Linked DNA regions of Styela clava. The protein of the gene in region 3 interacts with the protein of the main gene of each other region in a pairwise test. Links are inferred from orthologs where the notes say so. Each region holds a gene or a part of one and is shown on either strand. Other genes may lie near its edges.

Region 1 (12,065 bases), on a different chromosome or scaffold from region 3:
AGTCTTTAAAATTACCCAGAACGTTACTACTAATATGAGATTTTAATTTCAACAAGGCTTTTGGCCAGAGGTGGGCAAGGTTTCTGGACCAAGGGCCGAAAAAATTTGCCCACATAGACTGGCGGGCCATGTAAGTGTGTTGTAAAGCAAGTTTCTCAAGCTGTTTTTTAGCTTTAAATCTCGAAATTTGGTTTTAGTTTGGTTGTGGCAGCATCAGGCAGGCCGGATTAAATTACCCAATGAGCCAGATTTGGTTTGCGAGCCGTAGTTTGCTCATGTCAGCTTTAGACAATCAAAAACAACCTAAATAGCATATCTGCTTAGTTCTCCACAATGTTGACAAACTTGATATAAGTGACCAAAGTTCATTGTTCAAAATGAAAGTGGTTTTATGACTCATGAATTAATCTTTCGAAATCATTCATTTGTCAACACAAAAAGTGTGTGTTCAGACAGACGCAAATTAAAATTGAAATAAAGGTTTTATTAGATGTTCTACATCAGTGATTCCCAACCTTGAAGGGCTTGCGCCACCTTCTGGAGGCTTTTAGCACTCATGGCCCCCCTGTTTATCAAGCCAGTGGTATATACAATACTATTTTGATTGTAGATTTCAAAACTTAATATGTTAAAACAATTTATGCCCAACAAAGTGAAAACACCCTCTTATATAACCTTATCAAGCAATGAAACTAGCAAGAATGGAGATTTTTTTTGTGACTGAACTGTAATGGAGGAGCCTAGGTTGCCGCGGTACCCCGGTTGAAACTCATTGGTACAAAGAGTATGTATGTGACCTTAAAAAATAAAAATGTATTCTTTCAATCTCTCAAAACTGTGGTGAATCCAACACACGCCCAAATAAGTGTTAAATATCACCTTATCATAGAATTCATGGCATGATCACAAAACAAATAGAAACTGTCAAAAGTATCGGAACTTAGCACGGTCCTACTTGAACAAAGTCTATCTGCGTCATTCAACCCCTGCCCACATTCTTAAAAAACAATTCTAACAATCAAAGTTGGTCCAAAGATAAATATAATTTTATCCTTGTTTTATCATATTTTTAAGCCTGGCAGTTATAAAACACAGTTCCCCTAAATACTATGAATTAGTGAATCATTTACTAAATTACAGTCCAAATCATTTATAAGCGAAAGAATTTGTTTTCTATTTTAAGATACGGGAAGACTGCCAGACAGATGGTATGCACTTACATTATCTCCAATAAATAGGTGATAGGTAGGGGATGGGTATTCTCAAACATCAAGCTTTCAAAAAAATAAAAAATAACTGGCTTACACATCCTATACCACACATAGAATGGTAACCGGACGAGAGGCCGTGGTTCGCCAAGTGATAGGATAAATATGTAAACCCTATCCTACTTGATGATTTTGGAATCGAATCGAATATTTTTTCAAATCGAGTCAAATCTTGGAAGATATGTAATCGTATGCATTTTATTTGTTGTGATGATCCTTCGGGAACATTAATTACTTAAACAGCTTGCTGGGTGTTCACACATAATTAGAAACATATTAGATAGATAGATAGATAGTTTATTTCGAAAACTCCATAACAAACATAAATTAAAAATGGAGAATTCTGGAGGGCAAGCAAAACCTATAAAAAAAGTTTAAAACATGAGAACTATCTCATATGCCTGCCCACCATCACGCACACAAAAACACAAGCCCAATTAAATGAGGCTTGGGCCAAACCTAAACAAACAAAATATACGATAGTATTAAACTTTCGGGCTGTTGTACCTTTAACAATCACGTTGATCATGACCAATACCTACAACCTCATGCAAAGATAATGTGGGGAGTGGAATGTAATAAATTTGCGACGATAGTCATACTCATGAAGCCATGAAAGCTTCAAGAAAAACCAAGCCATGAAAAACTACACTGATTGCTAGATTGGGCATTCAGATTTGGATATTTTATCAAAATCTCACTGAGAAGGAGGTATATGTCAGGATTACATCTGAAAAATCTGGTGTCACAACCACCCATGGTTTGAGAACCCCTGGGTCACGGTAATAGACCTAATTATTTTAATATTGTATTTTACAAATTTAGAAAAACAAGATAGCCCATTACTCCACCTAGTGGTAAATATGACTGTCCGCTTGTCCAAATCTCTAATCAGAACGAAGATTTAAAAAGCGCATCATAACCCATATGCCTTACCTGACAATTACACATTGGTCTTTCTGTGTCCTCTTCATGTTGAAGTAAGCATTGTCTGCAATCGCAAATATATGTGGCGGCAATTCTCCAATTTTTCTGTTCGTATACATGCGTATGTGATCCACCTCATACAAGGGAAGGATTTGATAGGGATTGACAGCCACAAGGATTGAACCAGTGTAGGTCTGTAACACAGAATGTCAACATGTATAAATAATATAAGGTGCTCCCGTAGTATGTGCACCAAGATGGCACACAACCTGAACATAGTATGTGTACCAGGTTAGGGTTAGGCCATAATTTTATTCCAATTTTCCTTACTTTAGTTCTATTAACGAGTTCGGGAACTAGCCAGTGATTCCAGCAGTATTTGTACTTGAAACTATGGTCTAACCCTAACCAGGTACACATACTATGTTCAGGTTGTGTGCCATCTTGGTTCACATACTACAGGAGTGCCCAATAGAAACGTATATTCTTAATTAAAAGCATTTTCATACTGAATTTAGTCAAATGATAACCATATTCAATAAGCTAACTAACTGAAACTAGAATGTTCTTCGCCCAACTAATAATACCCAATTTCAAAAGCATTCTCATACAAATTAAACTAGATGTTTTTAACTCATGCGTCTGCGTCTGCTTTAAAAGTTAAATTTCAATCTTATGTGTTTTATCTGCGCTGTAGAATCAAAATATGGAGTCCCCCTATAGTATGTTTTTAATGATATTTTTAGAGTGGTATACATATTAAAACTTTTCTGCGTCAGAGCCAACTTTTTGAATTTTCTGAAATCAAGAACCGGAGTCAGAATATCAGACTTTGAATGGTGATAAACTCAAAAATTATAAACATTACCAACAGACAAAAAAATAAAATTTGTTTTTCAAGTCTGGAATTGATACCAAAATTCCTATTTATCTTGAGTTGAAAGTTATTTTTGTTAAGCACAGCTGTAGTTGTCTTTAAATATCTCGAAATTTGAAGTCAAAGACGGCAGTGAATTTTCCCCGATTCAATATCACATCCTTAATATTTTACAGTATAATTGAAATTAAACCTTACACCAGACAACACACATTTATTTTAAAGTTACCTTTCCACTTGCATATGTCTGTGTCCCGCAAAAGTAACAAACAAAAAGAATTATTAGGTATAAAAGGTTTAATGTTTAAAATAATATTCAGGATTTTAATGGGACCATATTTTGCAAGAGGGACATTTGACGAACTGTCAAAAAAAAAATTCGGTACTCCTGTAGTATGTGCACCAAGAAGGCGGACACAGGAAAGTAGTGTGTGTACCAGGTTGGGGTTAAGCCATAACTTCGGGTACAAATACTACAGGAGTCACTTGGCTAGTCCCCTAGCACGTATTAAAACTAAAATAAAAAAAATTGAAATAAATTATGGCCTGGTACACATACTACGTTCCAGTGTCCACCATATTGGTGCACATACTACGGGAGCCCAAAATTTCAATAAAATTAGAGGTTAAGAGTCTTCATATAAGCGTAAGATCATTATTGATGAAGTGTGTACTCGGGGTATTTGCTATTTTGGGGATTCATTTTTTGGAATTCAGCCAAATCATGGCTCTTTGAACTGGGGATCCCAACCTTGCAACACATATAAACAAATTTAAATAAAAATAATTTCTTGATTTTAGAATCCAACTTTCATCACTCACATAAATTTTATTTTCATAATATCTGATGAGTAAATTTCTGAGGATTCCTGCTTCATTAAGATCGCCAAGTCTGATCATGTCCTCAACTCCTTCTACAGATGTTGGATGCATCACTTTGATCTTTGCTGAAGCAAACTTCAACCATCTTTCCTGAAAAATTAATCAAATGTTTTCAGTTTTTGATTAGAAAAAATAAGAATTCACAGATCCACACTCGAATAACTTCTGTGCAAGGCCCTAGTTTGGATTTAGTTATGTATTAGACCCTGGTGGCATGACAGAAGCACATAAAATTAGTAACCGATTGGCTAGAAGAAAGTTCACCACATTTTGTCAAAGACGGTTCTTGAGAGAGACCTTTTTTAAATTCTAAAGTCCCCCCTCTTGGAAATATCTGAATCCCAGAAGCTTCCTTAGATGTTATAGATTATACATACTACTGTAACTTTTAGGTCCATCTTCCCAACAGGAGCAAAATTTGTAATCAATTAGCTTAAATGGGGGTAAGCTTGAAGGGGACTCCTCCCAACAGACATGTAGTGGATAATGGCAACCAAAATACATGTGAAACATAGAACGGCCATGAAGAGCTACGCTTCGAAAATGTAATGTTGCGAGCGCACGAGATTGAGATTTCACTGCACAAATGGTTTGGTGGTACTGCGCAATGGAGCAGTTGCGCACCTCAGAGGGAACCTTAGAACATCTTATTGGCTTTATCTCTCCCAGGTAAATATTTATGTTACCCTACTTATTCTATTTTACTTATTTTCTGCCCTGAAAATAAATATTACCGTAATTTAATGTTACCCATCTTACTAACCTTTTTCTCATCGTCCAGTACTTTTATTTGTCCACCTTGTGATGATTTGACCATCGCACCCAACGGTACCGAGCACTGAGACTGAGGGTCTGCATCCAATAACCAGACATGGTCGCCCTAGAAACAAGAAAATGGTTATGAGTGTGGTAAAAAAGATGGTAGATCTCATAATGTATGCCCACAAATAGGGGTGCTTATTAAAAATAACAATATTTGTTAGATTTGGGGGCGGCGGTGTGGCTCAACGGGCTAAACATTAGGAATACGCTCGCCACTGCACCACTAATTACTCTGCGTGGGTTCGCAGGTTCGAATCCCATGCAGGGATGGTAACCGTACGAGAGGTCGTGGTTCGCCATATGGATAAGCCATCTTATCGGCTTTCCTCTCCCCGGGGATAAATATGTAAATCCTATCCTCCTATCCTACTTGATCTTGTCCGCCTTATTTTTTCATTTCATATGACTTATTTTGTTCATTCACAGCACACAGTACAAATTTACTTGAACAAATCCTAAATAGTCCGAAGTGCACACCGATGAACACAAAGTTTAAAATATCCCATTCCATACTATCAACAGCTGCTTTTGAGATCTGTGTTCGGAAGGCAAAAAAATCCCAGTACTACAAAAAATTCAACATGTGCTAGTAACCTACCTTTTGAACAGTTGTGGAACCTTTTGCCAGAAAATGTCGACCAAAAAAATTTGACATGCTAAGGCCTAGATTACAGTGAATAGCTAGCAGTTGTTATCAATATATGATAGATAAGTCAATAGTTTGCAGTTTACGATTTCATTTTTTTCAACTCATACTGTAAATAGTACCCATAATAACCCATAACCTCACAAACCCATAATATACTGTTATTTTATATCCCCAACACACAATACCCAGAACCCATAAATCAAGAATGTAACAGTCCGCACCCATTCAAGCACACAATTCCAACAGAAGTTAAGCATTCCCATGTATTGTGAGTGTTGTTCAAATATTTAATCTAATTTTATTTGCTTTTGTTACCTATAAGTGCTATAGTCGTATGATTGCTTATCATCGGAAATCAGCAAAACTCAATAATTTCTGCTTCCCAACTACTTCATAAAATAATATTTTTGAATGTATGAATTGAATGTCCATTAAGTCTTGAAATTTTTTAAAATTGCAAAGGGAATTCATCGATACCATATTTAGTTTTGGCCTTCACAGATGTATCAAATGAAAAAAAATACTTAAACAATTACTGATTAAAAAACAACAAACCTGGTTGAGATATATTGAGAGCTGATTTCCTAACAAAATTGGAATTGTGAAGGGACTTTATGGACACCCTGTTATATTCAATGAATCTGTTTTCATGAATAATATGGTATATTGAACACATTCTGAAATATGAATTTTTGATATGCAATATGGAATCTATTCAAACTTGGCTACTTCAGCGAAGAATGCTTCTAGAAACCTAATGTGTATTGAATGAATGAATTTTAATTTAGGTAAAGAACACTTTAGTAGTAATCAGGGATGGCGAAAACTGAATGTCCTATGTAAATACAATCGCAGTGGACCTCAAACTATCATGGGGCGCATTCTTATTCTATGTACAAGTAATTATTTTTAACCAGTATATCCATGTATAATAAAAGTGATATACTTCATTACTTTATTATATGCCAGAATTATGAGGTGAAGTTGCCTTGATCATAATTTTAATATTCAGTTGAAAATATTGAAATATTGACAAATTCAATTCTTTTAGATTCTCCTATCTCTACTCATACTGGGTACCACACAATCTATTTTACATAAGGACCCGCCAGTCCTGTCTGCTACTGACCACTTTCTATTTTCCAGATAAAAATTAGGTGATATATCACTAACATACAAGCTGACTGATTTCTTTCTAACTAACTCACCCCTAGCACGACCAGCAAACAAGAAATGACCAGAGTAAATATTTGTTTAGGCATTCCATATGTGATCACACCATTACATTTCGGAATATTGTGTGTTTACATTGCTATATGTAATTTTAGATACATGTGGGAAATAGGGTTTGAAATAGATTTAACAAGCAGGGATTGGATTTGTGAATGAATTAAAAGATATCTTATAATATTTAATATAATATAACATAATATTATTATTAACAGATGCCCACCAGCTTATCCCAGGTGTTAAGTAGGTGGAAATTGCAGAAATAGGGATAAAAAAGTCGCTCAATGCTGTGGCTGTGTGTACATAGCCTTTTTCAGAGTGAAGATTTGAAATTGCCTCAAAGAAGAATTATGCTTCGTTGGCATGTTGCCAATTTCTCAGCCTTCCCCTCTACAAGATAAAAATAATGAAATCGAAACATAAAAAGCTGATTTACTAATTCCACAACCATCATGGACTGGTAACCATCACCATGCACAAATATGAAAAATCATGTCCCTCAGATAGACACTATAAAAATAAAAATAACAGCTTTAATCCAGTAATAAGCCATATGATTAATCCTTCCTATCATCTTTCTTCTTGACATTGTCGAATTCTGACAATATTTCTACATTTTTACAGATAACGAAAATTCGACTTCATTCTGAATTCTAAAACAGCCCCTCAAACAGGCAACGCCTTCCAATTAACAAAACTTTTAAAAACACAATATGTAGTTCAAGTAGGCTCAAGTACTATTGAATCCCACTTCACTATCTAGCTATCTTAAGTTCTTTAACTACTAGGCCAACGTAGCTTGGAAACTTAGTTTTACAATTGACAGATCATATCGAGCGTTGGCGCCATGTATAGAATATATTTTTTTGATTATGTAAGCCTTTTTGTGTCTTTCGTTCTGAACAAGGCTCTGCCCTATCTAGCTATTTTATGATCTTAAACTTCGATGGCAACGAAGCTCAGAAACTCGGCTTAATTTGAATTTGAATTTTTCTATACGATATCCAGAGCCAAAGCAACATAGAAACTATTTTCAGATCTAAACGTTCTTCCTTCATATAAGCATAAGATAGTCTATCATAACTTACAACATCAGCCATTTAATGTGAATATTTGATAAACAGTGGCCGCCTTCAAGTCATAAATGAACATTTATGAACATAATTTAAAGATGGGCCATGCTTAAGTAGCATGTAATAGCAGTATTTTGTGTACGGCCAAGTTAAAATTAGGAAGTACTTCTCTAATTGGGAATAAATAATTCATCAGGTATGCGAAGTATTATTATCAGCTGATATATAAAAAGGTGGAAAATGAGTCCATTCTCAAAGACTAAATAGTAATTGCTTATAAAACTATAAAAGCATTTGTGAACAGACAATTCAAATAATTTGTTCAATGACCTATTAGCTAGAGAAGGGCTTCCCAAACTGAGGGTCGTGACCACGTAGAAGGGCGTGCAACAAATTATAGAGATCTCAAACAGTACAGCAATTCCATGCAAAGTACTATATGTATTGTACTTTATTAGACTTTTGATTCGAAACACAATTTTTAAAACTGATGCACAACATTAATCTCACAATTTCGAGAGAATACATAGAATTCAAACCCCACCCCTACCCCTGGATTAGCTCTTGAACACAATACACCTGGTTCTAAATACTTTCAATAGTTATTCACCTATTCAGAGATGAGACTCCTCTACTTCTATCTGAATCACCTTGCTTTGAGCGATTTAACTCGAAAATTTTTTCCCATCTTGGCACATCTCTACTTGATGTCTCAATATTGAATATCATACTATATGTAAATAGAAAAGTTTGAAAAACGCTTCAATTTATACTTAGTAAAACCAAAATTGATCTCACAATAGAGAAGTCTTAGGAAAATGTTTCAGTTCAATTTTACCATACCAAACAAAATATCTTGCCACAACTTCATATCCTGTCTAAAAGTCATCTTCAGAAGTCTATAATGATTATTCATCATTCGATATATAAATAGGAAAGCCTTCAGAAAACATTTCAATTTATACTGAATAATCTGAAAATTTATTTCATTCCATAAAGCATGGGCCTAACATAAAATATATGAATTAAATCCGGCCCAAAGATGAGCAGGGTATAACATCAACATCTCGAAAATGAATGCTAATTAGACTATTTAATAATGCGGGCCAGATTTGAAATAAGGATAAATTGAATCATATCACGTTTGAATGAACATATTATGATGTAACAAAGGCTGACATAGCCTCTTTATGTGACATAATAATAGGTTATGGACATATTCATAATACAATGAAAACTTAACATAATTCACTTTTGAAAGGATTTTGGGCCTTTATAATGAAAGGTGCCTATTATATTAGGTTATAAGGTAGATTAAAATAGTGTGTACCCAAATACCATTTTTTTCCTAGAGCGGCGGTGTGACACACCGTTCTATGCATTAGGAATAGAGGTAACATCGGGCCCAAAAATACCAGCCCGGGCCGACCCAGGCCCGTAGGTATTAAACCCGACTCGACCGAGCCCGATTAATTAATTGAATTTGCAGGCCCAAGCCACAAGAAAACCCGAAATTTCATATTTTATTCAGGGGTTCATTGTATTGTCATTGCAAGAGTTAGGTAAAGTATGTGTCGTGTCGATGAGGCAATCTGTTTTTTTGCAAACCACGGTCTCTCGTGGCCAAAACAAGGCCGAAAAAAAAGTCAGCGATAGAGAAGCCCGACCCGACCCGACTTGACCTGAATGTAATGATTAGCATTTCAGGCTCGACCCGACCAAAATTTCGGGTCGAGTTCATGCTTCAGATCTCAGCTCTAATTAGAAATACATTTGCCCCGCATCTCTGAAAACGTCTTGGGTTGACTCAAATAATAAGATAATAAGAAGATTATGTGTCCATTAAAATAATAACTCATATGGGAACACTGATTCTACTGTAAAGTCAAAAATATCCCAATAGCAGAAAAGATAACACACAAGGCAAAAACATAGGACGAGGATGAGGCTTATACAAGAGATATGAAAATACTACACGGACAACCTGTAAGACAGTAGTTGACGAAGTTTATCTACTACTGGGCCAATCAAACGCATTTCCGGTAACGTAAGTATACAACGGGCATGTGCTTTTGGGTAGGGTAATCACTACAAAAACAAAAGGGACACAACAACCATTGTTATGACATATATCCCAACATAGATAATAACATTATGAGCACTTTTCATGTTATGCAATGAAAGGAGGTCGTTAAAAGGCCCCAAAAATTTATTTATGGACCGTTGTTTGCCAACAACTGCTGTAAGGAGATGCCAGATATTTTCCATGCTTCCTAAATTTGTGCTAATAATTTAATTTTGGCGCTCCCAAAGTATGTGTACCAAGATTTATGTTTAGAAAATTGATAAAATTACCATTCATAACATTTCAGTATTTTTCAACATATTTTGAACAAACTGACTAACTCTCTAGCACCACCAGACGGATATTGCACACTTCCTTAACTTCAAAATAAAACCAGTTTTCTGATTCAAATCTCAAATCTCTTTCACACTGGTTTGCATTAGATAACCATATGTTTAACTTTTTTGAAATATTAGTTTTAGACACAGAATAATTAACTAAAAACCAAAATAAGGGTAAATAATGTTTAAAATGGACTAGTCAAGTTTATCACACAATGACTAAATAGGATGATATGGAAAACAGAAGATTAATCCTAAAACCCTTGGTGCTGTAGTACATAAATCTCATGGACGTACAGTCCAAAAAACACCCTTCCCCCCAAAGCTCAAAATAATAAAATTAGTAATTATCCTGTTAGGGTTAGGGCTAGGAATGCAGATTGCGCAGGAAATTCGAACTTTTAAATAATTGACAGCCCAAACCCTAACTGAATAATTATTAATTTGTTATTTTAAAGGTGTTTTTCTCAAATTTCACATTTTTGCATTAGTGGAGGCCTATATTTTTATTTCTCTCCATTGCTGTTGGCTGAGCCATATTGTTCACCTTATTCATTGCATGTTTGTGGTTGAATATTTAAAAGGGAAAACAGGATTTAGTATATAATCGTGACAATTACAGCATTAATAATACAGTAGTTCGGACAGGAAATGTCAATTAGTATACTTTAGCTGATACACTGATAAAATTTGATTTTCGTTACCTCCCTATTTCCAGTAAAGCTTAAGAGTAGACCAGAAAATAATACAACATATCCTATATAATGGTGTACAACCTTAAGATAGTATATTTCACTTTTTTTGCAAATACAGTTAAAGCATGCACCCACGTCCTCGAACAAATGTTGTAAAAATACCGATGGAGGGCTTTTTGTAAAATGAAAAATAAAATCAGCTTTGCACTTATCATTGTGGCCTCCTTAAAAACTTCCATGGGCCCCAGTTTGGGAACTGCTGTTCTATAGCTTCGCAGCTCTTGGAATGTCAAAATTGAATTTTGTATATTTTCACCACAAAATCAAATATTCAAAGACTCACCTCCCGAATCAACGCCATCTTGACTCTTTGCTCTGTTCAGAGTTTTTGTTTCTTCCAAGTTTTTCTGTTAATGTTAAAATTGCATTATAAAGTTGGCTTGAAATGATTAAAAAACAAATAGGTAAAGTATGGAGCTCAAACAGGGCAACATAAAATGACACATAAACTGGAGCAGTTGAACACATACTCCAGAGAACCACATGAAAATTAGTTTGATGAACACAAACAACACATAATAAATAAAAGCACATAAAGCATGAGTTAGATTTATAACACAAGACAACACAATAAAAGCACATACACATAGCATAAAAGTCAGATTTAGAGTTGATAATTAATTGTTCAAAATACCTTATAAACAATGATATTCCTTTCCACAATTTCAAAGTGCCTTAGCTAGAGTAATGGTTGTTAGGATAAGATAACTGTGAAAACATCATAAACGTTATTTTATGAAAAAACTTCTAAAAAGAATTGGCACGATGTATCAGAATAAAGGGTTCTCTACAAGCATCCACGAATACATAATCTAATTGTATGGATGGAAATCAGGATCTCACAAGATGCCATAAGTTACTATCAGCTTCCTTGATAAATAGGAAAAACTATAATTAATTGGTTTAAACTGGTCAAAGCGAGTTCAAGTTGGTTCAAATTAGTTCATTCTTTCTATCTGTATGACTCAAACGTCTAAATGACATATTTCATTCCAATTCTAAGTCTTGCCTGACCACGAAAATCTCCCATTTCAATTATTCATTGTTTCCTATTTGCAAACAAAGCAGATAACATACCTATTGTACAGTCATAATTCATGAAACCAAACCTCTATGCTGTCATAGGGTAACCAACTGTTGCGTCACAATCATTTATAATTAATGTATTGCGTAAAC
Region 2 (11,243 bases), on a different chromosome or scaffold from region 3:
AGGGCAGTTAAGTATGAGTGTCCCCAACACCAGGAGTTGAATATTCTAATACACTTTTGTTATACAATACGATTTTTCTTCAGTAATTCATATACTGTTGCACCACCAATCAACAATACACAAAAAATTATACTTAAAATGGAATAAATCATAATCTCGCTGCAAAAATTCATTTACTTCTTAATTCTAAAATAAATGTATCAATCATTTCCCAAGCCATTCCTTAATCTATATCAAATCATTACCGGTAAGTATCCCATATGTAACAATTTTTTGGCTTTACTATTTTTTAAACACGGGACATTAAACCATTATGATTAACTAAACTAAAACCCTATTTTGATGTTTTAGCTAAAAATTAGACCAAGAATTTTTTTTAGATTGCGAGGAAATTTAGTTTCGGCACAAGGCTCATTGTTTTCCACTTTTGCTTTTGTAACACTGTATATAAATACTGTTCATAAAATGTTTTTTTAGATCACGTTTACATGGCCCACCAGTCCAAGTGGACAGAATTTTTGGCCCCTGATCCAAAATCTTTGCCCAACCCTGATATAGCACATGACCACATATTCAATGATAAGAATATTTGAACATTGATAAAATGAATTAGATATCCAATTTAACCTGGCAGTTAGGCAGCCAAGACAGTCAGCCTTCAGACAAATCTGAAGCTATACTTCACTATCACAAAAAAAAATGTTTTTACTCACACTCTCGTCATCAGCTACATCCTCCTCATCCTCATCATCATCCTCACTCTCGGCTTCTGCCGTTTTTCTATCTTCCTCCTCCTTGGCTTCTTTCATTTTCTTTTCACCAACAACAGTCTCCTTCATGATTTTATCGCATTCATCTTTTGCAGTTTGAATGTCATCAGTGATAAGGAAATTATCGAAAATAGTTCCGGATTTGACCTAAAAGTGAAAATAAATAAAACATCTACTTATCGAGCATATCTCACATAACCAAATGAAGAAAGCAATACAACATAGAAAAATGCAGCAATCAGATATCTTACTTAAATTGGCACTGGTTAAAACTAGGCAGTAGTAAAACTGTTTGCAGAAGTTAGGATGTATTTACAAATCACAAGCACCCATAAATTTTTACTGTCAAAAAATACTCCACAAGAATAAATCACATACAACACACGCACTTTTATCTTGCAAAAAGACATTCATGATGAGTCAACTAAAACAGTTTATTAACAGGAAATAATAAAAAAAGCGTCATTTTGGCAAATTAGTTCAAAATGCCCGATCTTAATAACCATATGCGCTTTCGCATTTCAGATTGCATTGTACGAACTTTAATTAAATCCTTATTAAGTGTATAAGTGGCACTAAGTGCCCTGCGATAGTTCGGACAATTCGCATATATGAAGTAGGTGAAGGCCACACAGGAATGCTACCGGTGTCCCGGTCAAGCCGACTTTACTTGATTTACAAAATTAATCCAAGTCTGATATTAATTAAACAAACCTGCCATAAATCAAGACCAATAGCACCGATATCTTCATACAAGTATAACTTATCATCTGCAACGTAAGCGGGGTTGGCAATCATAGGGTGGACCCACTTTCCTTTGTAGTCTGGGTTATCGATCATTGGGGCTTCCCATTCACCCTTATAATCGGGGTTATCGATCATTGGAGCTTCCCATTCGCCGTCCATATCTTCATCCCAATCGTCAGGTTTTGTGGCATCAGGATCAACAATGTGTTCGGGCTTGTCCCAATCCTTCAGATAAAAATGCAAGTTAATACTAAACAGCAGAAAAGAGTAATAAATATACATCTCTTTTGAATTATGCTATGTAAGACATTTATAGTAAATAAAAATACAAACATTGTTACTTAAAAATGAGAATTTAGACCACTGATTAAAATGTTCGATAGTCTTCAATGGTTGAAAGCAGGTCAATTTCAGATTTTAGCAATGCAATATTTTTGCAATTATTAAAATGCATCTTTTAACAGAAGTTTTAAAAGATATTGCATCAGGCCCCGCAAGGAAAATAAAAGGATAGCTCAAATATGACTTGAGATACTAATAATTTATTAATTTTTTTTTAATGAAGGTTGAGAAAGGTAACAGGTGACAAACCAGTGCTCCCAATGTGCACCAAGATGACGCACAACCTGAACATAGTATGTGTGCCAGGTTCTGATTCAGGTTGTGCGCCATTTTGGTGCACATACTTCCGGAGCGCCAACAAACCTCTGGTTTTGTTGCATCTGGGTCAGGGATCTTCTCACGTTCGTCCCATTCTTCCTGTGAGGGTTTAGATTGATCAGGATCTTTAATTTCTTTTGCTTCCAAGAAATCCCATTCTGTTTCAAGGCTTCCGGATTGTGCTTTTGCATTGTCAATTAAAACTTCATACGTATTGTCTGGTTTCACAATTAAGGTGTAAACGTGTGTAGTTTCATCATCCTTACATCTGATATCTTTCTTAATTAGTAAATTCTTTCCCTTGTAATGAAAGATGACATGCACTTTCTTAGTACCTGGCCCACAAATATCAGGACCTGAAATGAAAGATTATTTTGGTAAGAACAAAACGTAGACACACGTTTCAGTTGCTACATCATTGCCACTTAGCAAAAATATGGATTACGTAACACGACAAACACTTAAGATGTTCATCACCAAACCGGGTATGTGAATGATACTGATGAATATTACCAGCAAGAAATGTCCAATAATATTTTGTTGTATTGTACAATGAAGTTCGTTAAAACATACTTATTAATGATGATTTAATTTTAGAAAGGAAAGATCAAAAACAAGAATTTTTTTTAACCTAGCTTATCACTAACTTTATTCAAAGCAATAACTAACAATTGATATATTTTGTACTGCCATATCAAGTATTTAACAATAGTTAGCTCTCAAAATATCTGGGCCGGGCTAGGCTTCATTCAACAAGAACAACAGTAAGTTGACAATATTCACATCACCCTGCATTCAATGGTCAAGTCATATCTTACCAAACATAATGTTATATTGTGAATCTCCATGCATATCTTCAGACTGTAATGCAGATGGGAAAAGTTTGATATATCCTCCTCCGCAATCAATATTTTGTTCATGCTTGACAGAGAATTGAATGACGAGATCTTTATCCTCATTGGAAAATTTGTCAAATTTAGAAGAAATTGCATAGAATCTAAAATAAAAAAATTTGATACGTCACTACAATACAAACGAGACTCAAAATAAATAACAGACAGAGAGCATATAAGATCGAATACGAGCAAAATCTTCCTGGGTGGGTATACTATTCACAATTTGCAACTACACAATCTTTAAACCACAACACTAATAAATTTGGTTCAACATGCTGAATACTACTGTGGCCTATTAAATTGTCAATCGAAAATTAGGGTCTAGTATAGTTTCATAACTCAATTGCTTCTAGTGGGCGTAGCCAAATAATTTTGTGACGTCGTAGTGACGTAATTTTTGGATGGCCTAGTCAAGTGAGGGTTAGGATTGACATACAGACATAGGGTCAAAATCCTCACGCTACGCCCGCTAGAAGTACTTGAGGTACAAAACTACGCAAGGTCAGAAAATTAGAACTCGATTATTTTTGGACTTAAATTTTCCTCAATTTGCAGATTTCTGAAAAAAATCTTCATGAAAAGATTATCATTAACGTACTTGGCATCTTCACTAGTTTTGAGTCCTTTATCCTGTTCTTCATCATTATAAAATTTTCCTGCTGTTAAAATCCATTTTCCATAATCAGATTTGTGTTTAGATTCTTTCCACCGAGCTTCCCAATCCGCTATAAATAATAAGAAAAATACTTAGGCTGTTGCATTGGGAGTCTTGAGGTTCCCATCAGTGAGTTTTTTATTATGGTATGAAGATTTATTATACGGTACTTTATATAAGAGGCGGACAACTCGACTACACAGACAACTCAACAGAGACAACTCGACTACAGAGAGTTCTGGTGAGTTGTCCGTCTCTTCGGGTTTTCTACGGCAACATTTCAAGATTATAGGAGTGTAACTTCGATCTTTTCAGGGTTACAATGTTGAGAAAAACACATTAATATTCTCTAAAAGGCATTTTTATGTCTGACGTTATAGAACTGTGTTCGTTTAAATTTTCGAATTATAATGATACAGGACAGAGTGGTCCAAGTATGCGAGGATGAAGGGCCGCAAAAATTTTTGAGGAGTACTTGCGGACCCAAAAGTGATCAAAGGTCGCGAGTTCACTCACTTCAAATATATTTAGGAATAAAGAGTTTATCGTTCTAATCAGTTTTTCAAGGAAACTATATAACAGCATAAAGCTTTTAGTTTTTAGTTTTATTACGTTTTAAATTGTTTCCCAAGAAATAAGGTGGTATTTTCGGTATCTTTTCTCGTGTTTGGTTTTGAAATGAAATTTATTCTTTTGTGACAAATGCTACTTGAAAACACACCCGACACTGTGGTTTAAGGTTGTTGTGGGAAATACGTTCAGACGTTTACTTCGGTCACCTTTTTCTAAACCAGTAAACTTAAATTTTATGAAAACACTCACCGTCTGTGAAATAGTCTTTGAAGTATACCTCCGCATTGACTTTGGCCAAGACTAATAGACATATAAATGTGACAAAGAATTTCATTTTTTATTGTCCTAATTACTACTTTATTGGAACCCTGGTTGATGTGAAAAAGATTATTAGAAGAAAAATAAGCCCATTTGAATAAACTCAAGTACACTGTCACATACTTCGCAAATCTAAACAAGCTTACACTTGTATATCAACTAAAATGCATGAATCTATAAGGCAATTCGGCTGAAAACTGAGCGTAAGCTTGCCGCAATACTCTGTAGCAATAGCAAGCGTGTACCCTGAATGAACGCACACGTAAAAGTTACGTCACTGAAAACAAGAGCTGGCTCGCTGTGATTGGTCACGCCACCGGTTGAAACTCCAATCATACAACGCCACAGACGTAATACGAGGTCTGAAACGAGGCGCGACGGAAGGGAAATACACGCAGCAGATTGTTGGCAGCAGGAGTTTCCCCCTATTTGTTTCGGGTATTTATTCGATAAAATAAACATTGCGGAGGAATATTAGGTTAACCGTGATCTGTGACTGGTATTACTTCCATCGCATAGGAAGTATTCGCGCACGTCGGCGGCTGGCGGGTATCACCAATCGCACAGACTGAAGCCTACATTTGTATCGGACTGAGCCACTGATAAAATCACTTAATATGGAAGAAAACAGGAACGGAAAGATGCACTTTGTGATCTCTTTATGCTGAATATGAGAACAGTTAATTGATCATAATAAATGCTTATTGTCATATCACACAACAAAGACGTCTTGCTTTTATATGTGGGTGCAAATTCAACTTCATTTGAATCTATATACGGTTGCTAAAACCAATGGGTTAGGGTTAGTATGGGTTCAAATGTACGGGAACCGAATCTATATCCATCCATAGTTTTGCTGATTTCTCAAACCGAAATTATCTGCTTTAAGATGTATAATACATAATCTAAAATTCGATTAATAAAAAGTACGCACACTATGTACAGAAAATTCTAAACTCTTTTTCGAAGTTCAGATTCTTCACAGATGTCACCTGTATCGGGGACACGATTCCAAGCATCCTTTGTTACCATACCCCGATGTAATGTACAAATTTTCCCCAATCTGTGTTGTCAGCGCCGTTGATTACGGTGCCAGCCTGGGTTATACTCCAACAAAATTGTACTGAAACATAGCCTAAAGAAATGGGGATGTACAAAAAGATAGAATATCAGCAGTATTCTACCGCTCAATATGTGATTTGAGTAGAAAAGTTCGTTCTGTCAAAACTGTAATCTCGCGCATATTTCTTGTTCTCGCAACTTGGTTGCTTACAGCTAATCAACCCCGAAATGCAAAATGGCCACTTACCTCATATCCAAACTTGGAACTTTTCTTTGAGGTGTTTGGCGCAATTCATTATGACAATGTGATTCAGGCGTGACATTATCATTAAAAATGTGAACGCATTTGTCACAATTACCACAAAGTTTGCACATTCTGATTTTGCTGATGTATGTCAGACAATCGAATCAATATAAGTTCGGCAGTTGAATGGGCTAATGCTGAAATGAAGTGCTTTGTGATCTAGAATAGATCATAGGTTCTCAAAGTGCTCCGTACGGAGCCCCAGGGCTCCGCGAGAGAAACCTAGGGGCTCCGCGAGATATTCGATCAAAATACGGACTTGGTTATTCTGTAACTGTTAATAAGCAAAAACACCAATAATAAAATTCGAGCGCACAATTATTGTATTGATTTCAGTAACTACGGTACAACACCCATTGATAACCTAACATAACATCAAAGTTTGTGATTCACAATGTCTAAAAAAGCGTTTTTAATCTGTCGCGAGTCCGCTAAAATAAAAATTATCATGTTTTCTTCCGTTTTAGTATTATATAATACCGCTTTCCAATCAAGAAATTTGGGTTGCTGATTCACCCCCTTATTAATTATTTTTAGCATCTCGTCGCCGATGATTATATTGTATTAACTTGTTTTCCATACTAAACTCACAATTACGCACAAAGACAAAAACGTAATTATCGCATTCGCGGAACAAGCAAGAAAAATGTGTGATTAGGGAGAATAAACACCACATATAGATGTTAGGGTCTAACTAAAAAACACGCATCGCTACGAAAACAATCGGTGATTACAGCAAAATGCTATCGCGCATGTTATGAGCGACTTCTTCATTCTTCCAAAATATCAAAAGAGTATTCATTAATATGTGTGTCAAATTTACAGGCCTAATATGTATAATTTATCCGTGCAATTTAGAATAAAAAGTTTTAGCATTTAAATTAGGTAAGGTATTTTTAACTTACTCAGGAATATTAATCACTAAATATCAACATGTATTTTTTGTCTGCTTTATTTTCAAAATTTATTTGTGGGGCTCCGTGAAGAATGGTCAACCTCTTCAAGGGCTCCGTAACATCAAAAGTTTGAGAACCCCTGATCTAGATCATTGCTCCGCAACCGGTGTGCCGCGGCGCACCGGTGTGCCGCGATATGATACCAGGTGTGCCGCACAGGAATTGCAACTCTTCTCTCTTTTTTACAATTTTTTTTATTCTTTGTTAATTTTAATTTAGTCTACTACTCTACTCTACTAACGTAAAGTTAACATGTTTCTACGTTAGCTTGAGCGACACCAAGTCAAATTTCTGTCACTGTGCATTTGTGACGTAGGATAGGATAGGATTTACATATTTATCCCGGGGGAGAGGAGACAAAGATGCTCCAAAACCAGTCTGCATTTGTGGGGAGCAACTTTCAAATGAAGCAATGGTTCCGAGTAAACTTATGCGCCACTTAAATACGAAATACGGTTTCGTGTCAAATTTGGCGAAAAAGCACTTAACTTTAATACAGCAAAGATAAGCACTGGTACTTTTTCGCAATTAACAATGAACGATACGACTGGATCCGGAATCCTTTCTCAACTAGTGCTGAAATGTTAACGAAAGAATTACTCCTGCGTATTCGAGAAAATTTCGTTGAAGTAAGAAATGACAGACGCTAAGACTGAAATTCAGCAAAATTCCACTTGATGTGTTTTGAATTTTAATAAAAGAAGAATACAGGCGCACGTTTCCAATGCAACTATTGAAATATTGCTCCAGTTTTGCACAACTTATATGTGCGAACAAAGTTTTTCCTCTTTATTACTGATCAATAACGATAAAAGATCCTGCATAAAAGATGTTGACGGCGAACTTCGAGTTGCTCTTTCACGTATTGATCCTAATATATAGCGATTGTGCTCATTAAAACAACCACAAATCTCTGATGGAAATATGAACATAATTGTTGTGGTGTGCCGTCGAATTTGGCAAGTTATATAAATGTGCCGCAAGTTAAAAAAAGGTTGCGTTGCGTGTGCAGGCCAATGTAAATCGTATTTTGTCTTTTACACATCGGGAAATTCGCTAATGTTTGATTGATATTTCTTCATAACTACCATGTGATATTGAAGATGTCAATATAAAAATTGGTAGCGAAAAAACACAAATTAGTTGAGCTAGTTTGGCTGATAAACAGGTCAGAATCCTGTTCTCATTTCTACACGCGGGGCTGAAGGAGAGCATGTCTCAGAGTTATCGGAGCCAATACCGCGAACACTATCCCTGTAAGCAAAAAATAATATCAACATCCATATTCCAACTTATTTTTTAAAACTCTGGATCAGATTAAAAATCCTAATATATCGGTCTACATTTAGCCGATACAGCCGTCTTTAGTAGATAGGCCTACTACCACGTAAGTAATATTTCTCAGCGTGATATAGTAATGGACTAATAATACGACGATGCTGCGATTTTATCCACCCACTTTTCATCATTCATATCGGAATTTTGACCCGATAAACTGCCGTATAAAATTGCTCTCTCATCGTTCTGCATACAGAAAAATGAAGTGTGATTTTATTTGTGTGTGAAATCTCAAATTTATTTCCAAATGTACGCAACATACATAGCACATGCGTATTGCAAAATGACAAAAATGATTCAATAGTCATATGATTGTAAAAGTTGAAACCAATGGAAACGTGATTTACAACATTGATTTAATTCGATTACACATATATATATATATACAGGCAACCCTACATCTAATTCGATATATGCTAACGCAGGCCTTGAAGATCACGCCGTTCTGCTGGGAGTCTGCTGTTTCAAACCTCGACGTCGGTTGTCGTAGAAATGCCGTTGATTTAGCAATTTTGTGAAGCGAAGTTAATCCTGCTGTGAATTCAGTTGTTCATACATCTTGAATTTCAGTTTGAGTTGACGCTGGCATTGCATTTACCACGATTATTGCCGATGATCTTTTGTCAAAGTGTTTGTCTTGTTTATGCAATGTACATTGAGCTGTGGCAGATATAGAATCACATCTATGGTGATCATCGAGATCAAACACTTCCACACTGCCGACATCAGTTACAGTTTCAACGTGAGATGGTGTGCACGAGCCTCTGTGAATTCTGTAAAAAAAAATAAGTACTGAATCAACTTGTTATATAAACTCAATTCATAAATTGCCCCAAAGTGTATTAATCCTAAGTACGAATGTAAACCGACCCATATATATGTATCTGTTACTGATAAAATGCTGTTCGTGGTAGCACCATCACGGTGATTACGTAGGATGGGGTTGCCAAGTCAAGTATAATTTTTCCAACCAGTAAATAAAAAAAAATAACCACAGAAAAGACGGAAAAAAAATTAAAATTACAGTTTTACTGGAGAAGGGAAGTCGCGGGGAACCAGAGCTGGTTATCGAGCAGTGACATCCAACGTTCAAATATCTAATTTAAAAAAGTGAAATCTTAGGGTTAGGAAACTACTGTTTTTGGACGGTGAGTACCGTGTGAATTTTCTCTACGCTACGTGTTGATTAACAATCGCACTTTCCGTAAGACTGGATGGTAAGCAAACTAAAGACCATGAACTATCATAGAATATAGAAATAATATTCCTAAACTTACCTGCTTTTATACCACGATCTACGCAAAGTATAATTTGGGAGTAATTGGGGTCTTTTGAACTGTGGCCTTTTTACAAAATTTTCGTAATAATTGGCGTATCGTCGGACTTCGTTGTCTCTCTGAAAAAATAATGTCAGATTTTTAAACTGTAATAAAGTTGAAGAAAATAAAGGTAAACGTCATGTGGAACGATTAAATTGTCAAACTGTCTTTTGTAAAACTATCGATCGATAACTTATTGGCAATATTTCTCTTTTATTATATTTTTGTGGTTACAGTTCCGGGCCGTCTGCGATGCCAGAATTGTATGAATTCTATTTTATAACGAGTTATCTAATAGTAAGCAGTTTATTCAACCGCGAATATAAATTTCGAAACTAAATGTTTTGAATAATCCTTCTCGCGCTGGATATTAGCTTCTCAGGGCAAAAACATGAAATATTTATTCGTGGCAGAATTAGTCTGTCTTTTGATTCTTTCTATCCGCAGCATAAATAGGTCTCATAAATATTTAAGAGATTCTTTTATAAGTTTGAAAAATAAAGTTGCTTAGAGAATAGAAACAGAAAAATCAAGAATATTTTACTATTGGCAATATTCAATTCTAATCTATAAAGATTAAATATATAAAGTATCAATATTCGGTTATAGATATCATCTTATGAATCCTATTTTGTGATTGTCGAAGATAGCTCTGTAATCGGGAATAACGTAAAGATACTTAAAATAATACTATCGGGGCCAACTCACAGACGACAGACTTGTCGTCAAAATGTTAACGCGAGATTAACCCTTTTATATTAAACTTCATTTTGGTGAAACTAGCTATAGAATATTTGAAATATGTTTTTTTTACAAAATAAATGACTGAAACCTGGTACCTCGCTTTGCTACAGACCATGTTACAGATTGATCGAACTCAAATTTTCCGCAATTGTTAACAACATTTCCATATCGACTAAACTTTGCCATACTAAAGGGCATCACTCCGCAAATACACGCCACAGCCTGACAAAAAGAAACTTGTGAATATATGGAAAGCGTATGCAATTTAATGAAAATATTCAATTTCACCTTCGTAACTGACGGGACTCACCCCTGATATATACTGTGTTTTCTTCCACCTCAATTTTTACCACTAAAACATACGAGCGGGCGCTTGCATAAACCCCTAAACACTTGAAAATTCAACTGTAAACTTGCACATTATTTAGTTGCGCTATGACTCGTTCGTTTGTTATTTTTGCGCGATACCCATTTTTCCCCCTACAACTAAAAATATTTACCTGCTTATATAACGTACCTATTAGATCCTAATGTATAAGTTATATGTGTACAAGTCATTTAGGAAATGAAATTTAGGTTAGGAATTAACGATTGAAATGTAATAAAATGACCGAAGTACAATTTGATAAACAGTTGAAAAACGTTGTAATACTATTGATCGATTCATTGGAACATAGGTTAGAGGGGGGTTCCAATCTTGGTTCCATTGCGTGATAAGGTTATTTCACAGGGTGTTTTCACTTTGCTGAGCATGAATTGTTTGAACATAAAGGGGTTTGAAATCTTCCAATTGAAATTACGCTGTAAATACTACTGGAATGATAAATAGTGGCCATGAGAGGTAAAAGCCTCAGGAAGGGAGCGGAACGAGTCATAAAATGTTGGGAACTACTGCATTAGA
Region 3 (10,832 bases):
TGAGATATCGCGTGCATCTAACAGACATACATACAGACAGACAAATACCTATCAACATACTTACCGATTAAAATCGATAAGTAATAATTACTATGTGTTAAAAATACACAACAATTACAGACTTCTTGGCTTGCCTAACTTCTCTAAAATTCACTACCATTACCTTTGGACAACCACCAGGTCAAAAATACAGTTTACACAATGGAGAAGTGCAAATGAATTTATGTAGATTTGTAGCATAAAAAAGTCGTTCAATTGTAAATAGTAATTATGCATGTGGACTTTTCCCGGCCCCTGAGCGCTGAAAAATAAAGTCCCTAATGACGTTTGCGATTGCATTTTGTTCGAATCTCCGATTGTTTTGCCCTCATTTCTGTCAACAAATATTTTGTGCCGCGAAGACATGATAATTACTTTTTTGCGTTCTCGCATGGAACCATGACTCCTGTGTGAAAAACGAGTTAGTTTTTTTATTATTATATAATCATATCAGCGACGAGATGCTAAAGATAGAATAAAGAAGTGAATCCGCAACCAAAAATTTCTTGATGGAAAAAGCGGCATTATAAAATACTAAAACTAAAACGGAAAACACCAACGGGTTTTGTTATGGGATGGAACGCGACAGTTCAAAAACACTTTCTTGGACTTCGCAAATCTCGTATATTCCTTGTTCCCGCGGCACACCTGTAGTGTGGATCAAGCAACCATTTCAAATATTTATATCGATCATGGATTGAATTTTTTATCAACAGGAAAACCAACACATATCCGTTGAAAAAGTCGGCTATTAACGAGTGGTGTAATCTCAACAACTGATTCAGGAGCCGTATCGCGGGTGTTATGGGCGATGAATATGTATTTCTGATTTACTAATATACTTTATATGTAATTTCATTGTACTAAATTGAATATATATTTATACCAGATCTTTCTAACAACAATAACTAATTAGCATGAGCGCAATATATATCAAAACTAAATATTGTCGGGCAGTTGATCTCACATCCTTATGTGGTATTTTAGATATGTAATGACTTTATTTTGTCATGAGTCGTCTCAACCGCGAGCTACCTTGAAAAAGGGGTATTATACCGTGAAAAAGCAGGCATTTTTAACGAACCGAAGACCGTTTCAGAAGACGTCGCATGGAAACCCAAGTTTAACGTAGTCTATCAGTGAGATCTAATAGGGTCATCGGTAAAATTTGTCGATTTAAGAAAATATGAATGGAAAGGCTAAATCTCCCCGAGCCACGCTTTTCCTATTACATTAAAGTTGTAATACTCAAACATATGGAAATGCCATTTTTTCTCAGCAACGTTCCGAAGAATAATTCTCTTCTGTTGGGGTTTCACAGTAATTGGTATGCATTGAGTATAGATTGGCATCGATTTGCTTTATGTTAATGTGTATGTTCACAGCGCATTAGCAATTGAGTGCTAATACGCGATTATTCATGATAATACATTAGCAGTAGAAACGTGAGTGATATAGACAACAAGACGTCATTTTTCGGAATGCAGTAATCAAACTCATCCCTTTACGAGACACAAATCTCGCTAAATCTCCTACGCGTATAGACCTAATTTTTAACAAGTTATTTCGAATGATGTAGTTTGACTAAGACGGGGTTTATTTACGTTTTATAAATTAATTGACGTCACGCTTCTGATACGTACGCTCACGTGATGTATGACCAACATCGGCGTGAAACCAACTGCTTGAACATTAACCCAGAAAGGAAGTGACGTAGATTTTTAAATGGCACCAGGTGTTATTCGTTACTACAGTCATATGAAACTAAAATCTATTGCGTCCGCATAATAAAATTACGCTCAAATGCCTATTAACAAAAGGCGCAGCTTTAATTTTTACTGTGGGCATAAAAAGGCGATGTAAATATGAGTAAAATCGTACAACATTGCGCGATATATTTGAATTTTTGGTACTCCCGCAGTGTGTGTATCAGGTTAGGGTTGGGCTATAATTTTACTCCGATTTTCCTTATTTTAATTCTATTACAAGCTCGGGGACTGTCTGTGTTAGCCAAGTTTATGTACCCCCTACCCATGGGCTTCAGTGCCATCACACAACTTGATGTAAAGTAGGCGAACAAAATCAGTCACCTCCATATTGGTACGTACACACACATCTGGAGCGCCGAATTTTTAAATCAATCTAATTTAATCTCGCTTAGTCAAGAGTCAAGAAATACACATGTCAGTTAAACAAAAACCGATGACCAAGATCTGAATTTTTTATCCACTCCCAACTGATTGTACCGAATACCAAACCAATCTTTTTCTCGAATTCTCTCTATACAATAACAGCCTTTATATTTAGATATCAAAAATGGCTGATAAATCAGCTAACGAGTACAACGCTGGACCAAACTTTACTCCATGGTTGGCACACCTTGCAAATGTCAGCAACACACTTGTGATCTTACTGCTAATGGTGGCCAAGATACTTTGGGGGCCAAGATACTTTGGGGGACATTTTGAGTGCAAGAGGAATATTGAACTCCTGAATGTTGTAGGTTTGTAGGGTGTGACAGTCTATGTTTGTCTGCCTTCCCTCATTAAATCACCCACCTAAACAATTACTGGTATATAAATATAAGTTCATAATAGAATAATTTATTTCACAGAGCAAAGAAGTTTCCAATATACAAACTATTGTATGTTGCGAGTATCATTTGTGTTGATTTAATTTGGTTTTGCCTGTGGATATCTTTTTGATAAAACCTTGAACTAGATTTTTTTTGCTTGGGTGATGGATGGCTCAAACTTCACTGTGTAAAAGTGAGCTTTTCATCATATAAAACAAGCAAGCCCAATGAAACATTTGTTTCTGATAATAAATAATATTTACAATCATAATTTCCAATATGCTAGAAAACTTGCAGAATAGTACACTCCATATAATCACCAGCAAAATTGAGACAAAAATTGAATATTATTTTTAAACATTAATTGGGAGACAAGTCACTTGGGACTTGGGAGTCAAGTTTCATTTGAGATTTTGGTATTGAGAAGCTAATTGTAATTGTAACAATGACGTTCTTTTTATATCGTCCATGCCAATATCTTGAGTGTTTAAGTGTTTATTACATATTTGCTATTCACACAGTTTAGCTTAGGCTTCAACAAAGTGCTGAGAGGTAAAGAAAAAACTAGAAGTATACAACTCATGGAAAAACCAGGAAACTATCATTGTTTTTAAATTCGTTATGATTAAGACAAATGAGCTTTTAGCGTTGTTTCAAATAGTCTGGCTCTCATGGATTCCAATATATTGAAAGACCAATATTAATCTTAAGAATCTAAATCTATGGACAGAAAACAATGTTTTGTGCAATTTATATCAACATTTTCATCAAGTAGATACATATCATGATTTTGTTTCACAATGGCTTACTGTGGAAATTATACAGAAAAATTTTATTGGTAATTATACAACCACTTTTCTATGGTGAAATATTTCTGAAGCATGCGTAGATATGACCACACCATTATGGCAGGCGCAAGCATGGGTGGTTCACTTATACCTTTACTGTACATTTTAGAAAGATAATTTTAAGCGGTTACCAAAGTTAGTTATAGTATTGTCTGCTACAATAAAGAAAAAATCTTGACAACGGTATCAATAAAACATAATGTAAAAAGCACACAAAATAAAATCGGCCAAATGGATCAACATCTACAATTACATTCTTTCCAACTTTCCTCAACGATGCAACAAACTTTTTTCTCATACTCTCGACGATTTTCTTGATACAATTGTGCAGCTTGATTATTCGCCGGGCTGTTCGGATTTGGTTCGTCCAAAAGTGATTGTATTGACGTTAAAATCGATGAAACATCGTATGTGGGACTCCATCGGTTTTGTAAAATGTCTAAGCATATTCCGCCATCAGCATAAACATTTGGGTGAAACATTTTTGAAGCAAATTTAACAGAAGGAGGCTTATTCGGATACTCCTCTGTAAATTCTATAGTCAATCGAAACGTTCCATCTTCAAAAGGTGTATCAACTGGACCAAATATTAAAGCATTCCATATCATTATATTGTTGTCAGTTGGTGCCCCACTTACTCCAGTAGGAGGATCTTCTTGCAATTTTTTAAAATCACGCATTAATCTTCTTCTAGCTGGTGTAGACATATTACTTTTTTAATTTGGTTCGCCAATTTCTTATATACTATTCAATCCCTATTTTAATCTAAATATCTGAAAAAACAACAATCTAAATATCTGAAAAAACAACAAAGACATTAATAGCAATGTGCGACATAAAAATAAGGTCACCAGTGATGTATACACAATTCGATAATAAAAGCCTACCCCATATTTTACCAGAATTTCGCTTGTAAAAGGATGTGTGGTAATAAATTATACCATTATCCTAATTTACAAATGCTCTACACCTCTACTTTGAAAAATGAAATACATACACATAATAATTCAGTTATAAATTTTAAACTTGTAATTTCAAGAATAATAGGAAATATTATTATTAGTACAGTTGAGTTATATATTTACATTTTAATGGGAACTTTATTCAAGCATATTTAGTCATGTATAAAGAAGAATCATTCCTTTTAGAAATATTTTATATTTCAAAATATATCCTTTCAGGCATTATAGGGTTGACAACAGATAATAGGCTCACACGTCACACCAATAAAGTTTCAAAATGGTTGAAATAGATACCAATTCCTACCCATTCAATTCAAATATTTTCAATAATATATTGATTTCCAAAATACTTTTCTAGTTAAATAGTAAAACATGAGTCATCAGTGAGTCAGCTCATTTTAGCCTTCAAGGGATTATACCGTGAGCGAACCAAAATGAAAGACATATGGAAAAATGAGTTTCAACTTCTACAAAGCGATGGATGGGAATCAAAGTGTACCATTTATTATCAGATATGCCTTTATAATATGCATAGCGCAATAAACAATGACAGTGCGCCATGAACTTAAGGATAATGTTGTCTGACATAATTGATCAATTCCAAAAAATCGATCCAATAACAATTCATAAAGAATATGTTTGACAATTTATGAAACAAAAATTAAGAAGTGCACAGTTTAATCATACAAACTCAAAATGTAAATCTTAAAATTCCCCCGAAGAGGAAAAAAAGAACAACATTTGAGATAATAGCAAAAATCACTAATGTATAATATAATGACCCATAGCATGTATAATTGACTCACTCTCAAATAAGGCTGAATCCTTCTTGTCGAGTGAGTGTCAAGAATGGCCATTGGTAAGTTTAGTTTAGTAAACAGAATACAAAGGTATTGCTATTATACAAAATAAAAGTTTGAATGATTAAAAATAATAAAAATGACTGAATTCACGAGTTGCGGACACTAACTAACGACGATGACTTGGCGATGCGGCGCATTGTGCTAAGCGTTAGGAATACGCTCACAATTACCCTGCTTGGGTTCGCAGGTTCGGATCCTGTGAGGAATAATCATGTTCGAGAGGATTGTTGGACTCCTCGCCGTCGTAGGGTGGTTCACATTACCGCTGGTCGGTTACGGCTTCCTCCATCATCAAGTCCATGCATCTGGAGCAAATAACTGGCTAACTTACCCAATACCTGACATGGACAAGTAACAGGATGAGAGGCTGTGGTTTGCAATACGATTAAACCGTTTTATCAATTTTCCTCTTCAACAGGATAAATATATAAATGCTATCCTAACAAATATATTTCAGTAATGATTTGTCAGACTTGCTCATACAGACACAATTGAACTATTTTTACCTTAGAATGCAAAACTAAGTCAATATTGAAGTCCCTAAGCTAGATATAGACAATATAAATGATAAAAATAAAAGTATAGACCATATACGATAAATGCTAAATAATGACATAGAAACTTATGCTTTGCCAAAAAATAATAAACCAAAAATTTTCAGTGAAACTTTTTGGAATACTATTGCAAAATGAAATGATAATATAGAATGTACTTGACAGAAATGTATGGGAATTTATGGCAGGAAGAAAGTAACCACACAAATATTCTGGGGATTAATTAATACAGCCTGAAATCATTTAGATAAGTAATAGATCAATAATATTATGACGATTCCACATTAAGCATATTTATTCATGACAGACTTTTATTCGTCTGATCTATCGATGCTTGGCTAACATAAATTTGAAATAAAAGAATAATGTTTCTACCTACAGAATTCTGTAATTAACTCAATACTGAACATGCTATTGTCATATAATTGCGTACGATTATTAATAAATTCAATATAAGAATATGGGCAGAAAAAGAACATCATATTATCTAATAATGAAGTAAAAATGATACACAAATATAGCGGCTATCATGATTTGCATTCTTTCCAACTTTCTTCAACAATTACAGAAACTTTTTTTGCATAATCGATGCGACTGTCTTTATATAAAAGAGCAGCCTGATAGTTAGCAGGACTACTTGGATTCGGTTCATCAAGAAGTGATTGTATTGATGTTAAAATGGAAGAAACATTGTATGTTGGACTCCACTTGTTTTCCAAAATGTCAATGCATATTCTACCATCAGAATAAACATTTGGATGAAACATTTTTGATATGAATTTAACAGATGGAGGTTTGTTTGGATAATCTTCAGTAAAATCCATACTCAATCTGAATATTCCATGTTCGAATGGGGTTTCAGCAGGACCAAAAATAACAACGTCCCATTTCATGAGATTATTTTCGATAGGAGCTCCACTGATTCCTTCAGGAGGGTCATCAAGCATTCTTTTAAAATCCCTCATCAGTCGTTTTCTTGCTAATGATGTCATTATATTTGAACTATTATTATTAAATGATATGCCAACTGAAATCTAAAATGCAAATAATTCATAGAATGAATAAGCAAATTGTATTCCATAGGGTCTATATCAGTCGTTTTCAACTATTTTTGTGGAGTTTACCGCCAATGAAACATTTCAAGGCTCAAGGTATTCCTGTGTAACGGGTTTTTATTTTAACGTACGTTTCATCACAAATCTATCCATAATTGTAAGGCTGTGAGAAGAATTGCATAAACTATTAATATATGTATATATATTAACATAGAATCTCAAATTTGAACCTGTGGAATCCCTGGACCGTTTTGGCAGAACCCTAGGGGCTGCCGAATCTCGGTTGACAACCTCTGGTCTATAAATTACCGTGCCCCTTTTAAAAAATGTAATTTACAGTTTAAAATAAAATGAAAAGCAGGAGATTGCACAACATTATTATAGATATAATTAATTGTACAAGGGTTGAAGATTGAATTAATTGATCTGTCACAGAACTGGCTTGTTCGCTCCAGAAGTGTGTGTATTAATATGGAAGTAACTAATTTTGTTAATTACAGATTCACGTCCAAATCCGATAAAATAGCATTCTAGTCCTAAAACAAAAGACGTACAAATCAGCTCAATGCAAGTTTCTACATATTACCATTTAATCCCTTAAATTAAATGTAACGTCTCATTACCTATCCATCCGCATCCAACTACTAAGCCGAAAAAATTCAAATTTTAACAACCAACATTTTTTTTTACTTTTGCATCTAAAAACCAAATTGAACTGACCAAACCTAAAATAACAAATTAATCAAACATCTAAAATAACAACAATTAACAGCTAAATTAACCCAGAAATAAATTTAGTGATTTTTCTATGGCTTCTCTCACTATCTTTTGTACGATACTTTAACAAAAAATATCAACCATCATTGTGAAAACCTGTTAAAATTATAACCGAATACATATTGGATAGAAGTGACACAATCATCCTAGTGTTAAAGTCATTTTCACTTCATTAATAGACTCTCTAATTACTGTATTACCCTGGAGTTCAATTAATGATGATAGTGCCCTAAGCTATATTATATATTTATTACTTTCTACATAGTCTAAACGGCATGCCAAAATTTATTTCATCAAATATTCCCAAGTTTATGATGGCCTTAGCAAAACAGCAATAAGAGTGTGATAAAACAGTACGGTACAATTGTTCGATTCCAATTTCCAAGTAGTCTATTATAACAGTGGGGATAAAACTTTCCTCCATGATGCAATCTAGACGTTTGTATGGGTGAACCGGCACTGCATATTAAACTAAAAGGAAACGCAATGTAAAAACGAGCCCTTTGGATTCTACAGTATCATTCAAGAGTTATAGCAGGCCGCCACACGTCATGATTGATTTGAATCATGACCAAAACAAGCATGGCACAATGTGGCGCATCTGCCGTTGTGCCAGACACATTCATTTCAGAGATAAATTGAGTATTTGGTTTTATTGAACCAAATGTCAGGACATCTTGGAATTTGAGAACTGTGCCCTACTGTATAATGGGACTTCAGATTTTGTTATTTCTATAGGCCTACTACTGAATTTTCTCTTTACACTCGGCTCATAGAAGTTATCTTTTGTTGAACATTAAGTGTCAATAACAAATTCTTAGTGAATCTGTGACTTAGAAACAGAGCAGAATAACAATGTAACAATGAATAAATAAAATATTGAACATAACAATATCAGTGTAAAATCTGATGTGGAAGGGATACTGTCAATAATATAGTACTGTAGTATAATTCAGTAATTAAAAGCACAAATCAGAACTCAAAAGACCTCCTCGCGAACTGAAACTCCAAAGATCGTTAAATGATATATTTCATATTATTTATATTATTGCTTCATTGCCAGTATATCTCTATTTACTTAATTTTTCACAACTTCTTACAGTCTTACAGGAAAATCCTGGACTTGACTATGCTTTTATACCGAAATTTCTTAGTTTTTGAGCAAATTTTGTAGAGATTTTGTGGAAAAGTAGTTAGATTGGAGTGGTATCTAGATGTTTAAATACATAGACTTTCAGACCAGACGTTTTGGCCCAGCCAAACTCAGAAACTCGAGTGCTGAAGTACTTTTGTCAACGAAGCATTATGCGATATTGCAATAGACAGATAGAAGAGAATCAATAGAATATTGGAATAGTCTTATCGTGTTTGCGTTGGAATTTTTAGGTTCAGCTCCACTTTCGTTAATTATAATAATTATACAGTAATAATGAATGAAGGATTGATTTATATTTATTCACAGAAAATACACTTAAATCCATAGAGTTTTGTTTTTATCGCACCACGTAAAACACTGATCTGTTTTCCTATTTTCTATATTCATCAACAGCTATGGCAGTACGGTACCGGTATATCAATGAATGATATAGGCTATTTTAATCATTAAAACCCTGGAATTGTGAAATAAAACAAAGTACCGATAGTGTACGGTACCAGGGTAGCGAAGCGGAAAGCAGAAATACGGTGAGGGTAACCTAGCAAAATTCTAAATTAGCCTATCCCTAAATAAACCCAATAATACATGTAACATGATATATGGTAACGTACGGTACCGGTACCGCCTATGAAACACAAACCTATATGATTTGTAACTAGGTGAATGAATACACGGTGTTAAAGCTGTAGCTTATACACGGATACCCTACTTACAGACTTACCGGTACCGACCCGAATCTTCCAGTCACTTCCCGAAACTAGAAACAATTTGGGAAAGTGAGAAGAATTAATGACTCTATGTAAAAGTCGTGGTCACGTGACATAAGTGGTAACAAAGAATGGCCACTGTGTGGTGTTGTGAGTAAAAGTTGGCATTCTAAAAAATCGCAGACCTCATTCAATAAAAACCCATCCTACGCGCAAAAGAAAAGTGATGTAAACAAAACAATTTTAACATTAGCTCTTATCAGGGAATGTGATCACCAGAGCAGAAATTTGCATTTTTTGTAATTTTCTAGATATCTTTCATTGTAGACGTGGGCAGTTTTGAGGATAGAATATTTTTTACATCTTTTTTGATATTTTTATCATGATAAACATGGTCAAGATTTTTGATAATCGTTCATTAAAATTTTAATGAGCGCGGTGTTTCCGATGACGTCATTCTCGCTGTATCATGAGATTCTGCCAACGCGCCGTGCTCTGTGGGATATGCGCTGCAAATAGGATAGGATTTACATATTTATTCCGGGGGAGAGGAAAGCCGATAAGACGGCTTAATCATATAGCGAACCACGGCCTTTCGTTCGGTTACCAGGTCGGGTATGGGATTAGTTAGCCAGGTATTTGTTTTCGGAAGCATGGACTTGATGCGGCGCTAATTTCGCTTTGGGTACGATACCGGTACTGGAAGCGTTTAACACTGACAATCTATAACCCATACCATTTCTATCACGTTTGTTTACTGGTCTTACGCATTTATACCTGTACAGCTAGCAATCATTTACTGAAGGCATGCTGACGTGTTATTTAAACTACCGGTACCGTACCAAGGCTGCAAGAGGTGAAAACTAAATTCTTTAGTAAATAGGCCTACGAACAAAAATGTTGGCCAGCCTGCCAATAGGCAGGATCGGAATACAAAAAATATGAATATCTCCAACCTATAACGGTACAATACCGGTCTCATAACTAGGTTAAAAAACATGACGGAATACGAGAGAGAGATTTATTTCGTCAACCAGAATACAAGCATTGAATCAATAAAAATTATATACTAAACCAGCGTTTCCCAAACTGTGTTCCGCGGAACACTAGTGTTCCGCGAGCGTCTTCGAAGTGTTCCGTGAAAAGAGAATCAAAAATACGTCTAAAATGGTCGCCATGGCAATCTATGGAACGTGGAGTTGCCGCCCAACTAACCGGCGATATTGCGTCACCGTCGGCCTAAAGTGGACCAATTAGGGTGGGGTAGTGGAATTTTTGATAACCGTCGCTATTCTT

Evidence for each region.
Region 1: the proteins of ubiquitin-conjugating enzyme E2 A (region 3) and unconventional myosin-VIIa-like interact in a two-hybrid assay, tested with the Caenorhabditis elegans proteins (2 studies listed by BioGRID). The link is inferred for Styela clava from reciprocal best matches to the Caenorhabditis elegans genes ubc-1 and hum-6.
Region 2: the proteins of ubiquitin-conjugating enzyme E2 A (region 3) and calreticulin-like interact in a two-hybrid assay, tested with the Caenorhabditis elegans proteins (2 studies listed by BioGRID). The link is inferred for Styela clava from reciprocal best matches to the Caenorhabditis elegans genes ubc-1 and crt-1.

The regions. Positions count from the first base shown.
Region 1 is NC_135258.1:2,553,165-2,565,229, forward strand, and holds the start of unconventional myosin-VIIa-like, read right to left. Parts: upstream 5,791-12,065; 5' UTR 5,432-5,790; coding exon 5,375-5,431; intron 4,835-5,374; coding exon 4,718-4,834; intron 4,045-4,717; coding exon 3,895-4,044; intron 3,320-3,894; coding exon 3,302-3,319; intron 2,390-3,301; coding exon 2,205-2,389; intron 1-2,204. UniProt on the Caenorhabditis elegans protein: Myosins are actin-based motor molecules with ATPase activity. Unconventional myosins serve in intracellular movements. Their highly divergent tails are presumed to bind to membranous compartments, which would be moved relative to actin filaments.
Region 2 is NC_135260.1:6,837,713-6,848,955, reverse strand, and holds the start of calreticulin-like, read right to left. Parts: upstream 4,711-11,243; 5' UTR 4,636-4,710; coding exon 4,551-4,635; intron 3,799-4,550; coding exon 3,672-3,798; intron 3,175-3,671; coding exon 2,996-3,174; intron 2,534-2,995; coding exon 2,223-2,533; intron 1,743-2,222; coding exon 1,485-1,742; intron 918-1,484; coding exon 714-917; intron 1-713. Other genes in the region: uncharacterized protein LOC120347616, read right to left, coding at 8,830-9,052, 9,557-9,675. UniProt on the Caenorhabditis elegans protein: Molecular calcium-binding chaperone promoting folding, oligomeric assembly and quality control in the endoplasmic reticulum (ER) via the calreticulin/calnexin cycle.
Region 3 is NC_135259.1:10,179,274-10,190,105, reverse strand, and holds ubiquitin-conjugating enzyme E2 A, read right to left. Parts: upstream 4,207-10,832; 5' UTR 4,170-4,206; coding exon 3,699-4,169; 3' UTR 2,623-3,698; downstream 1-2,622. UniProt on the Caenorhabditis elegans protein: Catalyzes the covalent attachment of ubiquitin to other proteins.